Linked DNA regions of Canis lupus familiaris. The protein of the gene in region 1 interacts with the protein of each later gene in a pairwise test. Links are inferred from orthologs where the notes say so. Each region holds a gene or a part of one and is shown in the gene's direction. Other genes may lie near its edges.

Region 1 (4,253 bases):
ACGATCCTGGAGACCCGGGATCGAATCCCACGTCGGGCTCCCGGTGCATGGAGCCTGCTTCTCCCTCTGCCTATGTCTCTGCCTCTCTCTCTCTGTGTGTGTGACTATCATTAAAAAAAATAAAAAAAAAAAATACTGTTTCCTGGAGGAGGACCAAATCTGTAGAGGCAGAGCAACTTTTTGAGACACTAAAGAATTTCATGGAACAGTCATATTCCATTCCTTACGGGGTCATAAAGCTGTGTTTCTTTTATTCTGCCTTGATGGATAAAATTAAGTTGGTATTGAAGATTTTCCCCCAAGTGTTTTGATGGCTGTGCTGAAGTCAGTACCTATCATTCAGCTCTGAGTCATAGTTTAAATCTGTTTGATTCTGTTCCATTTAAGAAGGAAAGAACAGAATGTCTTTATTTTTCTCATGAAAAATAAATGACAATGACAAGAGTCAAAGCATGAAGAATGACATACCCTTCAATAACTGGAAAATTTAGCTTTCTTTGTGATGATTCTATAGTACACACATTATAAGTGTTCTAAATTCATGGACACCTTAACTAGCCTACTCCCTCTCACAGTCCCAAAGGAAATTGTCTTCTCATCGGTGCCCTGGGGGCGCACTCATAACCACTTGAACATATATGTTGGATACAGGAATATTTTAAATTTTTTTTGAGAGAGCATGGGGGCAGGGAGGGGTAAAGGGAGAGGGGGAAGAGAATCTCAAGCAGGCCCCACACCCAGCGCAGAGCCCAACTCAGGGTTGGATTCCAGAACCCTGAGATCATCACCTGAGCCAAAACTAGGAGCCAGGCTCTTAACCGACAGCCAACCAGGCACCCCTGGATATAGGTATATTTTGATAATGTGCTTTTCTTCTCTATTTCTCAAAGATTATAGAAACATTGAACAAAGGGCAAATGTTATAACAGATCTTGAAGGTTTTGCTTGCAATGCAACACTTGTTAGGTGCCCTAAAAGGAAAGCTGTAAGTCTATTCAGAGGATAGCAGCCCAGAAAGGATGAGCTGTATTGTGAAGTATCTTCTACTGATCAGCTTTTCTGTTGGGATAGTATCCTGTAATGTTCAAAAAAGAACATTTCCTGCTCACTCCTGTTTAAAAAACTGATACAGTTATTAGTAAATGTGCCGTTAATTCATGTAGTATGGAGAAACAGGAAAGGAAAAAATAAAGCATCCTAATTTTCACCTGTCAAAAATAATCATTGTTTAGTGTATGTATGTATATGCATGTATATACATGCATGTATGCATGTATACATTCGTGCATACATGTATATATATGACAATCAAATGAATCGTGATTAGTACTGATAATTTCTGCTTAATTTTAATATATAATTGCCCATTATATTTATTATAGAAATTCATATACTTTGTAAAGACCTGAAAACATGTAAAAAAAAAAAACTAAATCATCCTGCTGCGTGGTCTAGACATAATCTCTTAATGTATTCTGAGATACTGATCTTTTTTATGCATAGAAACACTTCACTTTTCTCACTGGACTTCATATCATTAACAGTTTTGATTTGTAAAAGAAAAGGACAATTTGCCTGTCTGCCCAAGTCCATTCTATCATTTCTGCCACGATCCTGAGTGGGCAGCTTGCCATGTGACCCTTCTCTGACCACTGAGCATTAGACCAGGGTGGGGGACCTCTTAGCCAGGCTTGGTCATTTGGATACCCCCAGAAGTTTCATACTGGATCACAGATTCTGTTTGGTCTTCGTTAGGCATTTGAACAAGAAACTAATCTAGAGCTGGAACCATTTTTGTGGTCTTATGAAAACCAAATAGAAACAAACCAGCCCAGTGAGAAGTAAAAGAATGAAGACTCAGAGACTCTGGAGAAGTGACTCTGACCCTCCTCTCCTGAGGTCCACTATATTCCCAGTGGGTCCTGGGAGTCCAAGAAATGCCCTTGTTTCCTTGCCAGCAAATAAAAGAAAGCCCTGATTAAGACACCAGATAACTAAAAGTCTTCATTGAAGACAATTTCTAAGAAAGGTCGCTCAACATTCTGTGGTACATGTTCCTACCATTAGTCATTTTAGTTTATAGTTTGTCACCATAAACAGTATTTCAGTGAACATCCTTGGACATACAGCTTTGCTCACTTTGTAGAATTTTCCTTCATTCAATTCCTGTGACTAAAATTAATGAGACAAAGAGGTAGGCACATTTTTCTAAGGCTTTTTGATTCATTTTCCAGATTGCCCTCCAGGATGGTTATACTAATCTGTACCTTCTGTTAGTCTGAAAATGCCCATTTTTCCATGCCTACATCAAACCTGGGAATTATCCTTTTGCATATATGACATTCTGGTGGATACAAAATAAGTATTTTAAGCGGTTTTTAAAGAATATTTTTGCTGTCAGCGTTGGTCTCTTGGATGTTAATTGGTCATTTATAATTCTGATTTTGTGAACAGCCATACTTACATTTTTTTCTGGATTTTTCTCTTAGATTCTTCTGCTTTTAAACAGCACTGCCCTTCAAAATAGGGGTTCTGTATATAAAATTTTAAACGCACATGCTCTTTGACAGATCAATTCTAATGTGTAGTAGTTAACCTGGAGTTATAAGAGCATGTAAAGCTATTAAATGTTCTCTGCAGCATTACTTAGTGTATGTGTATATATATATGTGCGCATATACACATATATATGTGTACACGTGTACTATAAAACAGTAGGATAGTTGAGTAAACTGTGGTGCATCCATACAATGGAAAACTATTAGGCTGTTAAATAAATTCGTATGGAAAGATCTCCAAGGTAACAGAAAAGGCTGAGATGCAAATTCATGTTGTGATCCCATAAACGTTCAGTAAACAAACGTTGATTGATTGGGTGCTACTACGTGGCTGATAGTGTGCTGGGAAACCCATACACGATATTAACAATGGTTAACTTTAGGGATGGGGCATTCTTCATTTATGGTCTCTATGCAAATTGAATTTTTATTGGGAATAGTATCACCTGCATATTTAAATTTTAGGAATTTGTGCTGCTTGCCATATTGTACTTGTTCCTTCATCGTCTAACCAGAAGCCCGAGAGGAGCCTCACAAAAGGGTCTCGGCTTTGCCATCCCGTTGCTGATGGAAAGGGCCCACGGAGACGAGCGGCGCGCTCTGGGCTTCGCGCCGCGCCTGCGCGGGGTGGTGGCGGCGGGATCCTAGAGAGGCGGGACCGCGTTCCTACAAAAGCCCCGCTCGGCTGCCGGCGGGTCGGGCTCTGCGGCTTCGGGAGCCTGTGCGGTCGGGAGAGCCGCGTCTTTGCTGAGCAACATCCTTGAGCTGTTTCCTCCGCTGAAGAGCAGGAGGACGTGCTGGTATCCGGCGCCTGCGGGGTGCCTCGGGGTGCCTCGGGGTGCCTCGGGGGCGCAGGTGCCCCTCGGTGACTCGGACGGCCCTGCTGCCTGGACGCCAGGTGGGGGCGGGCTCGCTGGGGCTGTGGGGACGGGGCCTCTGCCCCCGGGGTGGGCACGGGGAGGGGGGGGCGGCGAGAGCCGGAGAAGGACCCGGTGGGCGCTGAGGGTCGGGCTCGCTCTCCCACGAATAGTCTGGAGCACAAAGGAGTTTCCTTCGTCCGGACAGGAGTTGTAGGATGGCGTATGCACCGTGACTTGGGAAATGTGCCTCCCTAGAAGGGCAGTCCTGGCCGTGGAGGACGAGGTGGCTAGGAAAAGCCCGAGCAGTCAGCGGTGACTTGAGTTTGCGAAGACCATGGCTTTCCAGGAGGTAGAGGCTGTGTCTTTTATTCCGGGATTAGCGTTTTGCCAGGAAAATAATGACGTGCTCAAATGTTCACCGAATGGCAGACAAACCAGTAAAAACCAGTAAAAACCCGGCGAAGGTCAGGACATTATTGTAGTCGTGAATGTAAGTAAAGGTAATAGGAGAATGAAAGGGGAGGGGATGGCAGCACCAGGTGCTTCCGAGGAAGGATCGGCTGGACTCAATGTGTAGAGACTGGTTTTCAGCCTGGGGCGATGGTGGTGATGCCAATGGAATGGGGAGAGCAGTGAGGACAGCTTTGAGGGACTTGGATTTCAGTTTGGGATGTGTTGAAATTATGACCAGGAGAAGCTGGAAACTGGAAGGCATCCTACTGGCATTTTAAGATCTGAGTCAGGAATGTAAAGGTTAGCTGGAGTCAGCCAGATTTGAGTGTTCTTGGAATAGAGATACGCTGAAATTGTGATTAATGAGAACACAAAAGGAGAT
Region 2 (4,052 bases), on another chromosome or scaffold:
AAACAATATTAGATTCCCAAAACATATCGGCAAAGAAAGTCTTACCGTCAAAAGCTTGCAGCAGGTTCCAGCTCAGACCCAGACTGAAAAGCTGAGCAGCTGGTGAACAAAAGTTTTAGCTTTTTTTTTTTTTTTTTTTTTAACGAAGTCTGCAAAACTAATTTCCCTCAAAATAGGGCTCAATTTCCGTTAAAGAAAGCAGCGCTTACAAATCTCAGAATTCCTGATCACCCCCACCCCATCCCACCTCTAAGCAATGGAAAACAATTCGAACTTTCACACGGATGTAAAGGTTTATTGAGAGGCCACTATTCAGCAGTGGGGCTTAAAAGACCAGGGAGATAGGCTGAAACCTGAAGGGACTAGTTGAGGGAAAGTTTCTGCCTTGGGGACACTTCTCAAAGATTAATCAATACTTTTTCCTAATTCAAACCAGATGGCTGGCCCGGTTTGCTGTCCTCATTAATCCCATTAACAACTTCAAAGACCTGGTCCCCATCCTCTGGACACGTGAGACAATGAAAATAACGGGGCTACACTGCTGGTGGCATGTTTGTGGTCCTGGGCGGCATAGGTGAGCGCCAATCTTCTGATGCGAACCGTCCCAGACAGGACTTGACTGTTTCTGTAGCTCATTCAGTGCGGCTCGCTTGCCTTGTGTAAACGACTGTGCCCCCAGCAGACAGTGTCACCCCTCAAGCAAGTGGCAGTGTTAAAGCCCAGCCGCCGCGCCTACTCACTGATTCACTGACGGCAAGTCTTCTAACTAATTTTGTATGATGCGAGAGCGGAACCAGGGAGATCTGAAGCAGCGCCCAGTTTCGGTGAACTTTGGGGGTTATCGAAGTGTAATATTTGCCCTGTAAATGGGACCATGGCGGCAGGCGCGGGAGGGGGGGGGGGTGGAAGGGGGAGCCAGAAGCAGTGCCATTAGTTGATTTATTTTCGAGCGGAAGAGAAGGTGAATTTCTGGAGGGAGACGAGGGGACATGAGCTGACTCCTGAGGGGAAAGACTGGAAATGTGCTTGCAAGATACCGCATCACATGTCACCACGGCGATAGCGCTTCGGGTTTTCCTGCCCGAAAAGTTTTGGGTTGACAAATGGCTAGGAATTTGACGTGGACCAGGAAAGCAAGGGCAAGGACGTTGTGCAAACAAAGCAGGAAAGGCATACTCAGATAGGAAGAGAAGAAAGACCCCCACCTGGCACCGCAGGTGAGGATGCCAGCGTCTCGGGACATCTTGCAACTGTTGCTGCCCCCACGCTTTTGTCCCCCGCACCCCAGCAGGTCTCTCTCTTTTCGGCGCTGAGAATGGCCCTTTTCCTACCCGCGGGGCACTTCCCAGAAACCTCGGATGCCGGGTCCGAGCGCGGTAACCACCCACCCGGACGGAGAAAACAGCTGCGAAAAGCTAGACGCGCCGCTGCGCCCTGGGCACGAGTCGATGCAGAGTTTGAAAAACTTGTCTGAGCGCGCGCCAAACTAATCTTTTTTTTTTTTTTTTTTTTTTTTTTTTCCGTAATCCTACTTCCCCTTTCGAGCCCAAGAGCCGGGCGTACCCCGAGCTTTCCCGCAGGTGACAGCGCCCGAGTGGCAGTGACAAGAGAAGTGAGCGGGTCGGGCGGTGGGTGCAGAGTTGGGGCTGGCGTGCGCGGGCGGGCGCGGAGGGCACCTTGGCGGCCCGGCGGGCGGGGAGAGCCGCTGTCCGCGCGGCTGGGGCTGGGGCTCGGGCTCGGGCTCGGGCTCGGGCTCGGGCCGGGCTCAGGCGCCAGGCGCGCGGCTCGCAGCCTGGGCTGCTGGCAAGGGCGGGCGGGCGTGGACGCAGTGCGCACGTCCAGCCGGAGATAGGAAGTGGAACTGGGAGCGCGTGGCGCAGACTGAGCGGGAGTTTTGGAGGGAGTTTGCATGTGGTCAGCTCCGGGCTCCTGAGCCAGCCCCCAGCTCACATTACACTCTATTTATAACCTCTCAGAGCCGTTTCCCCCTGAACGCAGTTCTCTGGGACCACCTTCTTTTGGCTTCAACCTCTCCTACTCTTGACATCTGAGTAGCTCGAAGGGAAGCTTCTCCAGGTCCGAGTGTTTATATGTAAAGGAGACTGGCCGCTAGGGCTCCGGACCGGGATTATCCGAGCTCTGCAGAAACGGCGGGTAAAATTTGTTTGGGAGGGGGAAAACACACGGTTTCCAGTGAAAAGTGACAGAGGGTGGTAGCGTTCGGAACCATCGTGAAGTCTTCTGCCTGGAACCTGAGACGTGCATGCTATGGAACACCCGCTCTTTGGCTGCCTGCGCAGCCCTCACGCCACCGCGCAAGGCTTGCACCCGTTTTCCCAGTCCTCTCTCGCCCTCCATGGAAGATCTGACCATATGTCCTACCCCGAGCTCTCCACTTCTTCCTCGTCTTGCATAATCGCGGGATACCCCAACGAGGAGGGCATGTTTGCCAGCCAGCATCACAGGGGGCACCACCACCACCACCATCACCACCACCACCACCACCAGCAGCAGCAGCACCAAGCTCTGCAAACCAACTGGCACCTTCCGCAGATGTCCTCCCCCCCGAGCGCGGCTCGTCACAGCCTCTGCCTCCAGCCGGATTCGGGAGGGCCCCCGGAGCTGGGGAGCAGCCCGCCGGTCCTGTGTTCCAATTCTTCCAGCTTGGGCTCCAGCACCCCGACCGGGGCCGCGTGCGCGCCAGGAGACTACGGCCGCCAGGCGCTGTCACCCGCGGAGGCGGAGAAGAGAAGTGGCGGCAAAAGGAAAAGTGATAGCTCAGGTAAGAGCGCACCGGGCACGGTCGGCGAAAGGGGGCGGGGAAAGGACAGAGAAGCTTCTGGCGCTACAGTGAGGCGGCGGGGAATAGGGTACGCGTCTCGCCCTCTCTGGCTCCGCGCCGCCAAATTCGGCGGGGGCTGCTTTGGTCCTGTTATTTGGGGGCACGTGTTTCTCTCCAAGGGCAACACTGCAGCCAACAGCGATAAGCTCTCCAAAGTTCAAACTAGTTTACCAGAGGGTTAAGAAAAAAGGACAAGTGACAGTACGTGAAATCGATTGCAAAGCGTGACCTTCCATCTGAGCGGTGGGGAGGGGAGCGCACCCGGGGTTGCGGCGTCCGCTGGGCGTGCGTGCGGGTGCCGCTCCTTGACTCTTCCCTTGCAAGTTCCCGACTCCGACTGGCTCGATTTTTCCCATCGTTAACTGGATTTCCAAATTATTGCACAATATTTGGAACTTGCAGTGGAACTTGGCAGAACGTATGAGAAAAAAAAAAAAGTTTTAGTTTTTTTTTTTTTTTATTCTGATTTCAGAGTTCTTTAAATAGCACCCTATTCCAAATGGTAAAAAAAAAGAAAAAAAAATCCCTTTCTTGGGGAAGGAGACAATCTAGGAATTCAGAGGATTTTAAGGAATGTGTCAAAGAACGGTAAATAAATACATGCTCAGACTCTTGCGGAAAAAAAAAACGATTTTTAATAGTAGTTGTATTCGTGTGGTGCTAATCTAAATAGGGAATCTGAGTTTCAAAGTGGAAAGTAAAATATCTTTCTGTTGAGTATTATTGGAGGCAAGTATTTGGAAACAAACAGCAGCCGGGGTAGTGCTGGTTCTCTACGTGCTTAAGGCTGGTATTCGAGGGTGCGCGCAGGAGGCGCTGATCTATGTGGGGATAACTTGAGTGGCCACGCAAAAGCGAACCTTACTAAATGCAGATGCTTGAATGCGCAGACTGCCAAGTAAATTGTAGCAATCCCAGACACTAAAGCTTTCCAAGCAACTCCTTAAAGCCCTTCACAATCTGTATCATCGTCCAATTGTTAAGAGATACTTTACAATTAAGGGACTTGTGGATTTTCTTCTGTAGCTACAGCGTGCCCTGCGTTCCATCCCTTTTGGAAAGTGTCATTTGTTTAATATAATATTTACACATTTTTCTTCTTTTGTGGAATTGGTTTAACAGTCCTAGAAGGCAATGACAGGTATTGATGCGAAGGATTGGAAGATGTTTGTTTTTCATAATGCTTTAGGTAAGATCCCACGTAAATGGC
Region 3 (4,060 bases), on another chromosome or scaffold:
TGTCTCCCTTTCTGATATTTCCTACCCATTTCTGGGAGAAGTGGTTTTATTTCTGCTTGGCCTCCAAACAGGATCTGAAGCACACCAGTGACCTGCAGTCAGGTGCCCAAGAGGTGCAGGGAAACTTCCCTAGGCCTTCTCTTTGGTGGGAGAGGCCCACCTGGGTGTAGACCACCTAGATGGTGCAGATGTAGTGCTGAGACCTGGGACAGGCTTCTCTGACCCTCAGAAACCCGGAAGATTCAGGGTGACCCCGAAAGACCTTTTCTGGGCCACTGGGCCGTGGGCAGCATAGTGCAAAGTGTCAAGGAGCCCTTTGGGGGGCAGGCAATGGCACTGGACTCCAAAGGCTCAAAACCTCTCTGTGCGCCACCATGTGAACATCCAAGTGGCCTTCCCCCCTAAAGCGAGCTCGTAGCTTCCCGGCTGCCCACTGGGACCCGGGCTGACCATAGGGTTGTCCCGACGCGCACAAGGGCCACGCAGGGGCAGCCTTTCTTAACTGACATTCCGCAAACGCGCTCCGTCCCAGCAGGGCGCGGGCTCCACCCGCTTCACTCGGGGACTGCCGGGTGTCCCGCCGCGGATGGGGCGGGAGGAGGGCGCCGTCTCCCCCACCTCCCCCCAGCCCTGGCCTCAGCAACGGCCACGGCCGGGCGGGCCGGAGGGGCTCTGGCGGCAGCAGGACTGGGTCCCCCCGGCCGTGGGGTCGCCAGGGCCACAGGCGCGCGCGGAGACGGAGCAGCCCCCGGAGCGCCGATGCCGGGTGCCCCCCCCGCCCCGCCCCTTCCAGCACTCGGGCGCGGCTCAGGGGTCGCGCTCGGCCCTCGGCGGTGCCGCAGGCCCTGGGGCGGCCGGGCTGGGGGCGTGGCGGCGGGAGGGCCCCGCGCGCGCCCCGCCGCCCCCCCCCCCCGGCAGCCCGCCAACGCCCCCTCCCCCGCGCGCGCCCCGCGTCGTTGGTGCCGCCGGGCGCCGGCCCACAAAGCCCCCGGCCGGACGCCGAGGCCCGGGCGCGCGGAGCCGGGGCGGGCGGGGCGCGCCGGCCGGACCACGCCGGGGGCGGGGGTGTCGGGTGTCACCCCCAGCGCACACCTCGGCCGGGGGCGGAGGGAGCGAACCACTGAGACGAGGAGACCTCCCGGGTCCTAGAGCGGAGCAGGAAGTGTCCCAGGGGAGGGAGCCGGAGCTCTCCGGCCCTTCCTTTCCTGCGCGTCCGGCGGACTCCGCGGCGGCCAGGCTCGGCGGTCCCCGCCACCGCCCCCGCCCCCGCCCCCGCCACCGCCACCGCCACCGGGGACGCGCCTGGGCGGTGAGTGCGGCCCGAGCGGCCCGGGCCCCCGCCCCCACCCTGCGCCCCCGCCCTGCGCCCCCGCCCCGGCCCCGGCCCCACGTCCCCGCGCGCTCCGCGTCCCGGCGTCCCCCGGCCCCGCGCCCCGCGCCCCGCGCCCCGCGCCCGGCCGCCTGCCCGGAGCCCAGCGGCGGGGACGCGGGGACGCGGGGACGCGGGGACGGCGCGGGCGGGGCCGCACCGTGACACAGATGCCGCGTTTCAGGCGCCTCCGTGGCTCCCACCGCTCCACTCCCGGGCGCAGCCGCGGTGCTTGGATGAGCCAGGGACGGGGAGGGCCCCTGCGAGCGCGGGCTGGAAGGATGAGGAGCGGCTGCGGGACGCTTCCGCTGCAGCACGACAGATTCCAGTTAGACGCCGGGCGGGACTTCCAGGCGGTGAGGTGAGCAGCGCGGCGCTGGCGAGACTGCGGGAAGGGAGCGGGAGGGGACGAGGACAGCTGGCCCGGGCCTAGCCTAGCGTGGCCCCCGCTTCCTGGCCGTCCTCCCCCCGGAGCTGCTGGAAGCGCTACTCCCCGCCCGCTGCCGGAACGCCCCCAGGAACGGCGTGAGTTGACCCCTTGGGCCTCTGCCCGGTGCCGGGTGACAAAGGCTAGCGGGTTGTCTGCTGGGCTGATGCCCGAGGGCGGGCGTCAGGCTTCGGAGGCCCTGCAGGTGTGCGGCGGGGGAGGCGCGCTGTGATCTGAGACAGCGTGCGGGGGGGGGGCGCCTGCCGAGCCCATATCCTGATTTGTGTTACCTGGTTGCCCACCTGGCCTCAGTGCTCACCTGTGAAATGGGGGTGTCGGAGTCTTGCACACACTGGTGTCCACAGCTCTTCGAGGCCTTTCCCCATTTGCTCTACTTTGCTGGAGTCCCTGGGGCCACAGTGGTGGCGTTTGGCCACTGAGGTCACCCTGGGTGTGTGCCTCGAGGAGGTGCAGATGGCAGCACCCCACCTTGGCCCCTAGAGGACTTTACCCCGGTCGGAGATGACAGGGGGCTGCAGGGTGGCGGCAGGGTTGCAGGCCAGGGCGACCGAAGTAGACCCCAGAGTGTGCTGCTCAGACTTTGTAGTGAGGGAGGGAGCTGTTTTTAAACATGAAGGTACTTTCTCTGGGTCCCCAGGGTGTGGCCGCAGCCTTGGCTTCTCCCCACTCTTTGTCTGTTTCATCCCATCCTGTCCACTATGCTGCCTGGGGTTCCTTCCCCAGGTCGGACGCCACTGCTCAGGCCTGGCCACCAGCACGGTTGACTTCTGCTCCTGGATCTGCTCAGAAGGCTCCTCCCAGGCATGCGCATCTTTGTCTTTCCAGCTCCTCTTGGAAAGGTCTCAAGGACCAGGACAGCGACTTTGGCTCCAAAGCCTCAAGATAGCAGCCCCCTGGGCTCCTGCGTCTCAGGTCCTGCCCAGGAGGCCCTGGCCCCCGAAGGTACCACAGAGCCTTCATTACACCTGTCTCCTGCACACGGCCCTGCCCGTGTCCTGTCCTGCGCTTTCCCCCCAGACTCCTCACCTTGTGTGTCACCCAGCTCCGGGACTTACGTGCTTGTACTGTGGAATGGTGTTGGGGGTGGTGGCATGCTTCCCTCTCTGTGTGTGCAAGGAGCAGGCATGCTGATGCCTCTCACATATCCCAAAGCTTCTCCCAGGGGCTGGTCTGGGGGCTTCACCACTCTCCCCATCAGCACCCCCAAAAACCTCCCACAGGAGACCAGAACGTTGAAGCCAGTGATTTTTGTTTGGAAATAGGGTCGTCTTCTGCTGCTGACCCCCATCAAACCCCATCATGCCCACAGCCCTGTGCCCCCGAGTCTTGGCTCCAAAGGAAAGCGAGGAGCCCAGGAAAATGAGGAGCCCACCCGGAGAGAACCCCAGCCCCCAGGGGGAGCTTCCCAGCCCTGAATCCTCCCGCCGCCTCTTCCGCCGCTTCCGCTACCAGGAGGCAGCGGGCCCCCGGGAGGCCCTGCACCGCCTCTGGGACTTGTGTCGGGGCTGGCTGAGGCCCGAGAGACACACCAAGGAGCAGATCCTGGAGTTGCTGGTGCTAGAGCAGTTCCTGGCCATCCTGCCCCGGGAGATCCAGGGCTGGGTGCGGGCCCAGGAGCCTGAGAGTGGCGATCAGGCCGTGGCTGCTGTGGAGGCACTTGAGCGGGAGCCAGGGAGACCCTGGCAGTGGGTGAGTGGAGGGTGCTGAGCGGGGCGGGCCAGGAGGCGGGAGGGGAGAGGCAGTGTCTGCGTGCCCTGGCCAGGCTAGGAAAGTTTGCTAGAGCTCCGGGCCTCAGTGAGGCCCATGCTGGGGCGTCCATCTCTTGAGAAGGTGGGTTTCCTCCTTGACGGGCCTGACCAAGGGTGTGGTCTTGTCAAGCTTCCTCACAGCCCTGCACGGGGTCTAGTTGCGCCTCCTGCGGGCAGCAGGCCCAGGGAGGGAGGGTGCTTGGCCAGTGTCCAGCATAGCCACCAGCCCCCACCTGGTCAGCTAGCCCTGAAAAGCTCTCTCTGGGGTTGCAGCTCAAGCACTGTGAAGACCCCGTGGTGATCGATGATGGGGATGGCCCTCCAGACCAGGAGCAGGAGCGGCTGCCTACAGAACCCCAGAGCGACCTTGCAAAGGGCCAGGACACCCAGCCCGTGGCGCTGGCACAGGGCCCTGGGCTCCCAAGCAGACTGCAAGGCCAGCTCAGCGGGGATCCAGGTACCAGCCCAGGGATGCCCCATGCTGGGTGCTTGGTG
Region 4 (3,978 bases), on another chromosome or scaffold:
ACCCCAGTGTTTGGGGGGGGTGTCTCTTCTTGTAAACGTTAGCACTCCTATCCCTCTCTCTCTTACTTAGCAGGTGCAGGCTCCCCAGGTTCAGGGGTGGAATGGGGGTGTCGAGGTGACAACCAGACCAGGGAGGCCTCCAGGTGGCTGCAGTGCGGCCTGTGCCCGATCCATCGATGCAGCCCTGGCCATCCCTTCTGGCTTCACGGGGCAGGTCGAGGCTACCCTCTCCACAGGTGGTCAGGGGAGGGCGTGAGAAGATCCCCTAGAGATGCAGTGAGAGGCCCTGGGGGGGGGGGGCAGCGTGTGCCACCACCTCGCCGTGTGACCTTGAGCAAGTGCCATCATTTCCGAGCTTGTTTATTTATAAAATGGGGAAAAAGAGTCGGCACAAATTTGACCAGATTTCTCAGGCCCCGCCCGGTTCTGAAATTCGGTCATTTCCCAGCTGCAGCGCACCCACCCTGGAAGGGACTGGGAAGCGATCAGGGCCAGCGCGTGGAGCGGGGCCCACCGGCCAACGCCTGCCCTCGGAAGGTGCCCTGCGTGGGAGAGTAGGGGGCGGAGGCAAGCGGGGGGAGGGGGGCTCGAGGCTCAGACGACCCGGTGACCCTGCTGCTGGGGAGTAAGTGGCCGCGCTGCGCCGCGGGCTGGAGGGGCGCAGGCTGCGGGGGGGGGCGGGGTGCGCCCCGAGGTGCGCCCCAGGCCTCCGGGGAGGCTGCGCGGCTGCGAAGGCGGAGCAGCGGGCGCTGCAGGGAGCTCAGCCCGGGGAAGCCCCGCGGCCGCGGCTCTAGAGCGCCCCCTCCTCGGGGTGGCGCGGCCCGGGGCGCGCGGGGCGGGGGGAGCCTCGGGAGTCCGCGAGCTGCTATTTTTAGCGGGCGCGGCGGGCGCGCGGGGACTATTTATAGATCAAACAATCCGCGCTCCCTGCGTCAATGGAACCCCGCGTGCGTCACGCGCGCAGACATTCCAGCCTCTCGCCCCGCCCCCCGGGCTCCCCGGCCCGCGCCTCCCCCCGCCGCCTCCCGCCGGAACCGCGCCGCCCCCCGCGCCCTTGTATGGCCACAGCTCGCCGGGCCGCGTGCGTCAGTGGCGCCCCCGCCCCTCGCCGTGCGTCACGGAGCGCTTAAGAGGAGGGTCGGGCTGCGCCGGGGAGCCCCAGCGGCACAGGCTGCGGAGCCCGGAGCGCGCGGCCGGGAGCGCACACGCGGGACGGACGGGCGGGCGGAGCGGAGCCGCCGGGTAGGTGCCCCGCGGGGAGCGTGCGCCCCAGCCCCGGCTTTCGGGGTGTTGCATGGGGGAGACGGCCGTCCGCGCGGGCAGAAAGGATGTTGTGGGGTCGGCGTGCAGGGGCGCGGGCGCTGGGTGCAGCCCGGGCGTCGGGGGGAGCGCTTGCAGCGGGGGCACGACCCGGGCCGCACTCCAGCCCCCGGGCGCCCGAGAGGTGCAAGGTGGAAGCCAGGTGGAAGCCGCGGGGGGGGGGTGGGGTGGAGTTGGAGTTGGCACCGGGAGTGGGGACTTGCTGGGGACGAGGCTGCCTGTGGTTCAGCGCCCCCCCCCCCACTTGGGTGCCCGAGTGGCCCAGGGCGCCCCGGACCGAGGTGCTGATGGGCTCTCGGTACAGTGGGGCGGGGTGTGTGTGTGTGTGTATGGGGGGGAAGATCCCCAGAACTTGAGTTGCAAGGATCCGCGGGACTCCTGCCAGCTCTGGGTTTCCAAAAGGGTCTCCTTCCTCCCCGGCTGGTCGGCCTCCTCCCCCACCCCTCGTTCCTTTAGTTGTTTTCTTAACACGTTAGAGGCTGTGGCTTAGTTTGCAGGGATCCCCGAAGTTGGTGCCTGAGCGGTGTTAGGAGACTTCTGGATTGCTGGAGGAAGTGGCCAGCATGGGGGGCTTGGCTGAGCTGTGGAGGGGGGCTGCTGGTGTTCCACTCAGTCTTCTTAGAGGCAGGGTCTGGGAAGCACCGGGAAGATTGGTTAAGAGGTGTCTTGGATCCTGTGGGGCGTGGGGGCGGGTGCGGACAGAGGAGAGAGAGAGAGAGGTGTGGAAATCTTGGTCCTTGGGGATCCCGAGTGAGAATTGCTCATGTTGGAGTCCCTGGTGTAGTACCTGAAGGACACCCCCCACAGCCCCACAGCCCGGTCACACCCGTGCCCCCCTCCCCCCAGTCCCCGTTGGATCCTACAGGTAGGGTGCAGCCCGCAGCTTGTTCAGCATAACAGGTGCAAACCACATTGTTGCCAGGACCTGCCTGAAGCCGGATCCTCCCTGTTCCCTCCTCCAGCCCCGCCTCTTCCTCCTCCCTGGGGGACTGCTTCTCCCCCACCCCCTTGACGCTGGATGCAGGTCCATATCTGCTGTAGTTAAGTACCTGCGCCGAGGGGGGTGGAGGGGGAGGACAGGTTGGTGGGGGTTGATCCGGATGTGGGATGTCCAAGTGGAGAAACAGGATTTGAATAAGGCTGGAACACCCAGCCTTATTCCAGGTGGCTGCTACCTCTTCTCCACCCCAAACCCATCCCTGCCCCGGCTGTCCTAGCGCTGGAAGACGTGGCCACTCTTATCTCTTGCAGGTGCCGCGTATGCCTGCGGGCGGGCGGGTGGGCACTACCGGGTGGCTGGTGCAGAGCTTGAGGGGCTGTGTGGCCCCCGGCCGGTTGTGGCAGTGTCAGGCCAGGGGTGCGTCGCCCGTGGAGGTGGGAGAGGGCTGGACCCAGAGGACGTTCCCCCCCTCGCCCCCCCCCTCCCCGGGCTCTTGGCCAGGAGGTGGTGCCAGCCTTTGCCCCCTCTCTCTGTTCCCTTGATCGTGGCACTCTGTGTTCCAGCTTGCTTTCTTGCCCCGCCCCCCCCCCCCCCCCCCCCCCCCCCCCGGCCCTGGCTGGGAGGGCCAGAGCCGTGCAGACCCCAGGGGTGGACATGGGATGGGAACCCGTCCCGGGGCCGCCTCTGCGCTAGTTTGCCACGGGTCTGCAAACTTGAGGATCTCCTTCTAAGTGGTGCTGTCTCTGCCCCTTCAGGCCGCTCATGATTGAGGGTGTAACCAACCCTCTTTGCCTGAGCGCCTGGGTTATTCAGGGCCCAGAAACTCCTTCGTGGAGGGACCCAGGCGGGGGCAGGATGGCTTCCATCTGCCCACCTCCCGCCAACAGGCTCCTCCCTGTATGGCCACCTCGAGTCTGCTGGACTCAGAGTTCTCTTATAAAACTAACAAGAGGCAATGCTTTGGGGGTAGCAGAGAAATTCTTCTTAGGGACTGTCCATTCTCCTGGAAGTCTAGGGGGCCTGTTCTCTCCTCCTTCCTGCCCCTATTCGGCTTCCCTCCGGTGTACAGCCTTTAAAGGTCTGGAGCCCGGCTACTTGATCCCCTGGGGAACTGGGGATTGCTGAGGAGGGCCAGGGCTCCCTTCCTTTTTGCCTTTGGGAGCATCCCAGGCGGTGCCGAGTGGGTGCCCATCCCCAGATGGCAGGACTGGGGTGCGCGTGGGAGCTGCAGCCTTTGTTCAGTGTGTCGGGTGGGGGCAGGGATGGGGGACAGGCTCGGGGCTGCTTAGGCCTCTTGCTTAGCAGCTGGGCCTTCAGTCTCGACTCCTCTTCCATTTTCAGGATGTCCTTCCCAGGCACCGTGGGGGGAGGAGGAGAGGGGGCTTTGCAAAGGCTGGGCTGTGCCTGGGAATATTCCCAGAAGTGCCAGGTTGGAGAAATGACATACCTTCACCCAGAGAGTGGGCTAAGTAAGGCTTTGCCTGGCTGCCTCTCCCACCCACCCTTCTTCCAGCCCCTGCCCACGCCTTACCCGGTGCGGGAGGGCAGGGGGCTGAAGGAACACAGCTTCCCCCTGTTCCAGCAGAGAAATGCTGGCTAGATGCCTTCCCTAGGGTTCCCAGGCTGACCGGGGTGTGGCTGGCCTTCCAGCTGAGCCCACTCCTGCTGGGCCACTGCCCGGGGGCTTTGTGACATGAGGGTTGAGATGGCACTCCGGC

What was found.
Region 2: the proteins of PGBD1 (region 1) and MEOX2 interact in binary tests that used the Homo sapiens proteins (3 or more experiments, as listed by UniProt). The two-hybrid records come from large-scale screens. The link is inferred for Canis lupus familiaris from reciprocal best matches to the Homo sapiens genes PGBD1 and MEOX2.
Region 3: the proteins of PGBD1 (region 1) and ZNF496 interact in binary tests that used the Homo sapiens proteins (3 or more experiments, as listed by UniProt). The two-hybrid records come from large-scale screens. The link is inferred for Canis lupus familiaris from reciprocal best matches to the Homo sapiens genes PGBD1 and ZNF496.
Region 4: the proteins of PGBD1 (region 1) and NR4A1 interact in binary tests that used the Homo sapiens proteins (3 or more experiments, as listed by UniProt). The two-hybrid records come from large-scale screens. The link is inferred for Canis lupus familiaris from reciprocal best matches to the Homo sapiens genes PGBD1 and NR4A1.

What each region holds. Positions count from the first base shown.
Region 1 is NC_049256.1:26,902,289-26,906,541, forward strand, and holds the start of PGBD1 (piggyBac transposable element-derived protein 1), read left to right. Parts: upstream 1-1,453; 5' UTR 1,454-3,456; intron 3,457-4,253.
Region 2 is NC_049235.1:30,370,403-30,374,454, reverse strand, and holds the start of MEOX2 (homeobox protein MOX-2), read left to right. Parts: upstream 1-1,252; 5' UTR 1,253-1,612; intron 1,613-1,815; exon of another isoform or gene 1,816-1,976; 5' UTR 1,977-2,268; coding exon 2,269-2,782; intron 2,783-4,052. UniProt on the Homo sapiens protein: Mesodermal transcription factor that plays a key role in somitogenesis and somitogenesis and limb muscle differentiation. Required during limb development for normal appendicular muscle formation and for the normal regulation of myogenic genes.
Region 3 is NC_049229.1:279,363-283,422, reverse strand, and holds the start of ZNF496 (zinc finger protein 496), read left to right. Parts: upstream 1-1,260; 5' UTR 1,261-1,309; intron 1,310-1,553; 5' UTR 1,554-1,730; intron 1,731-2,540; 5' UTR 2,541-2,759; intron 2,760-3,079; 5' UTR 3,080-3,116; coding exon 3,117-3,506; intron 3,507-3,838; coding exon 3,839-4,022; intron 4,023-4,060. UniProt on the Homo sapiens protein: DNA-binding transcription factor that can both act as an activator and a repressor.
Region 4 is NC_049248.1:43,697,537-43,701,514, forward strand, and holds the start of NR4A1 (nuclear receptor subfamily 4 group A member 1), read left to right. Parts: upstream 1-1,178; 5' UTR 1,179-1,242; intron 1,243-3,978. UniProt on the Homo sapiens protein: Orphan nuclear receptor. Binds the NGFI-B response element (NBRE) 5'-AAAGGTCA-3'. Binds 9-cis-retinoic acid outside of its ligand-binding (NR LBD) domain.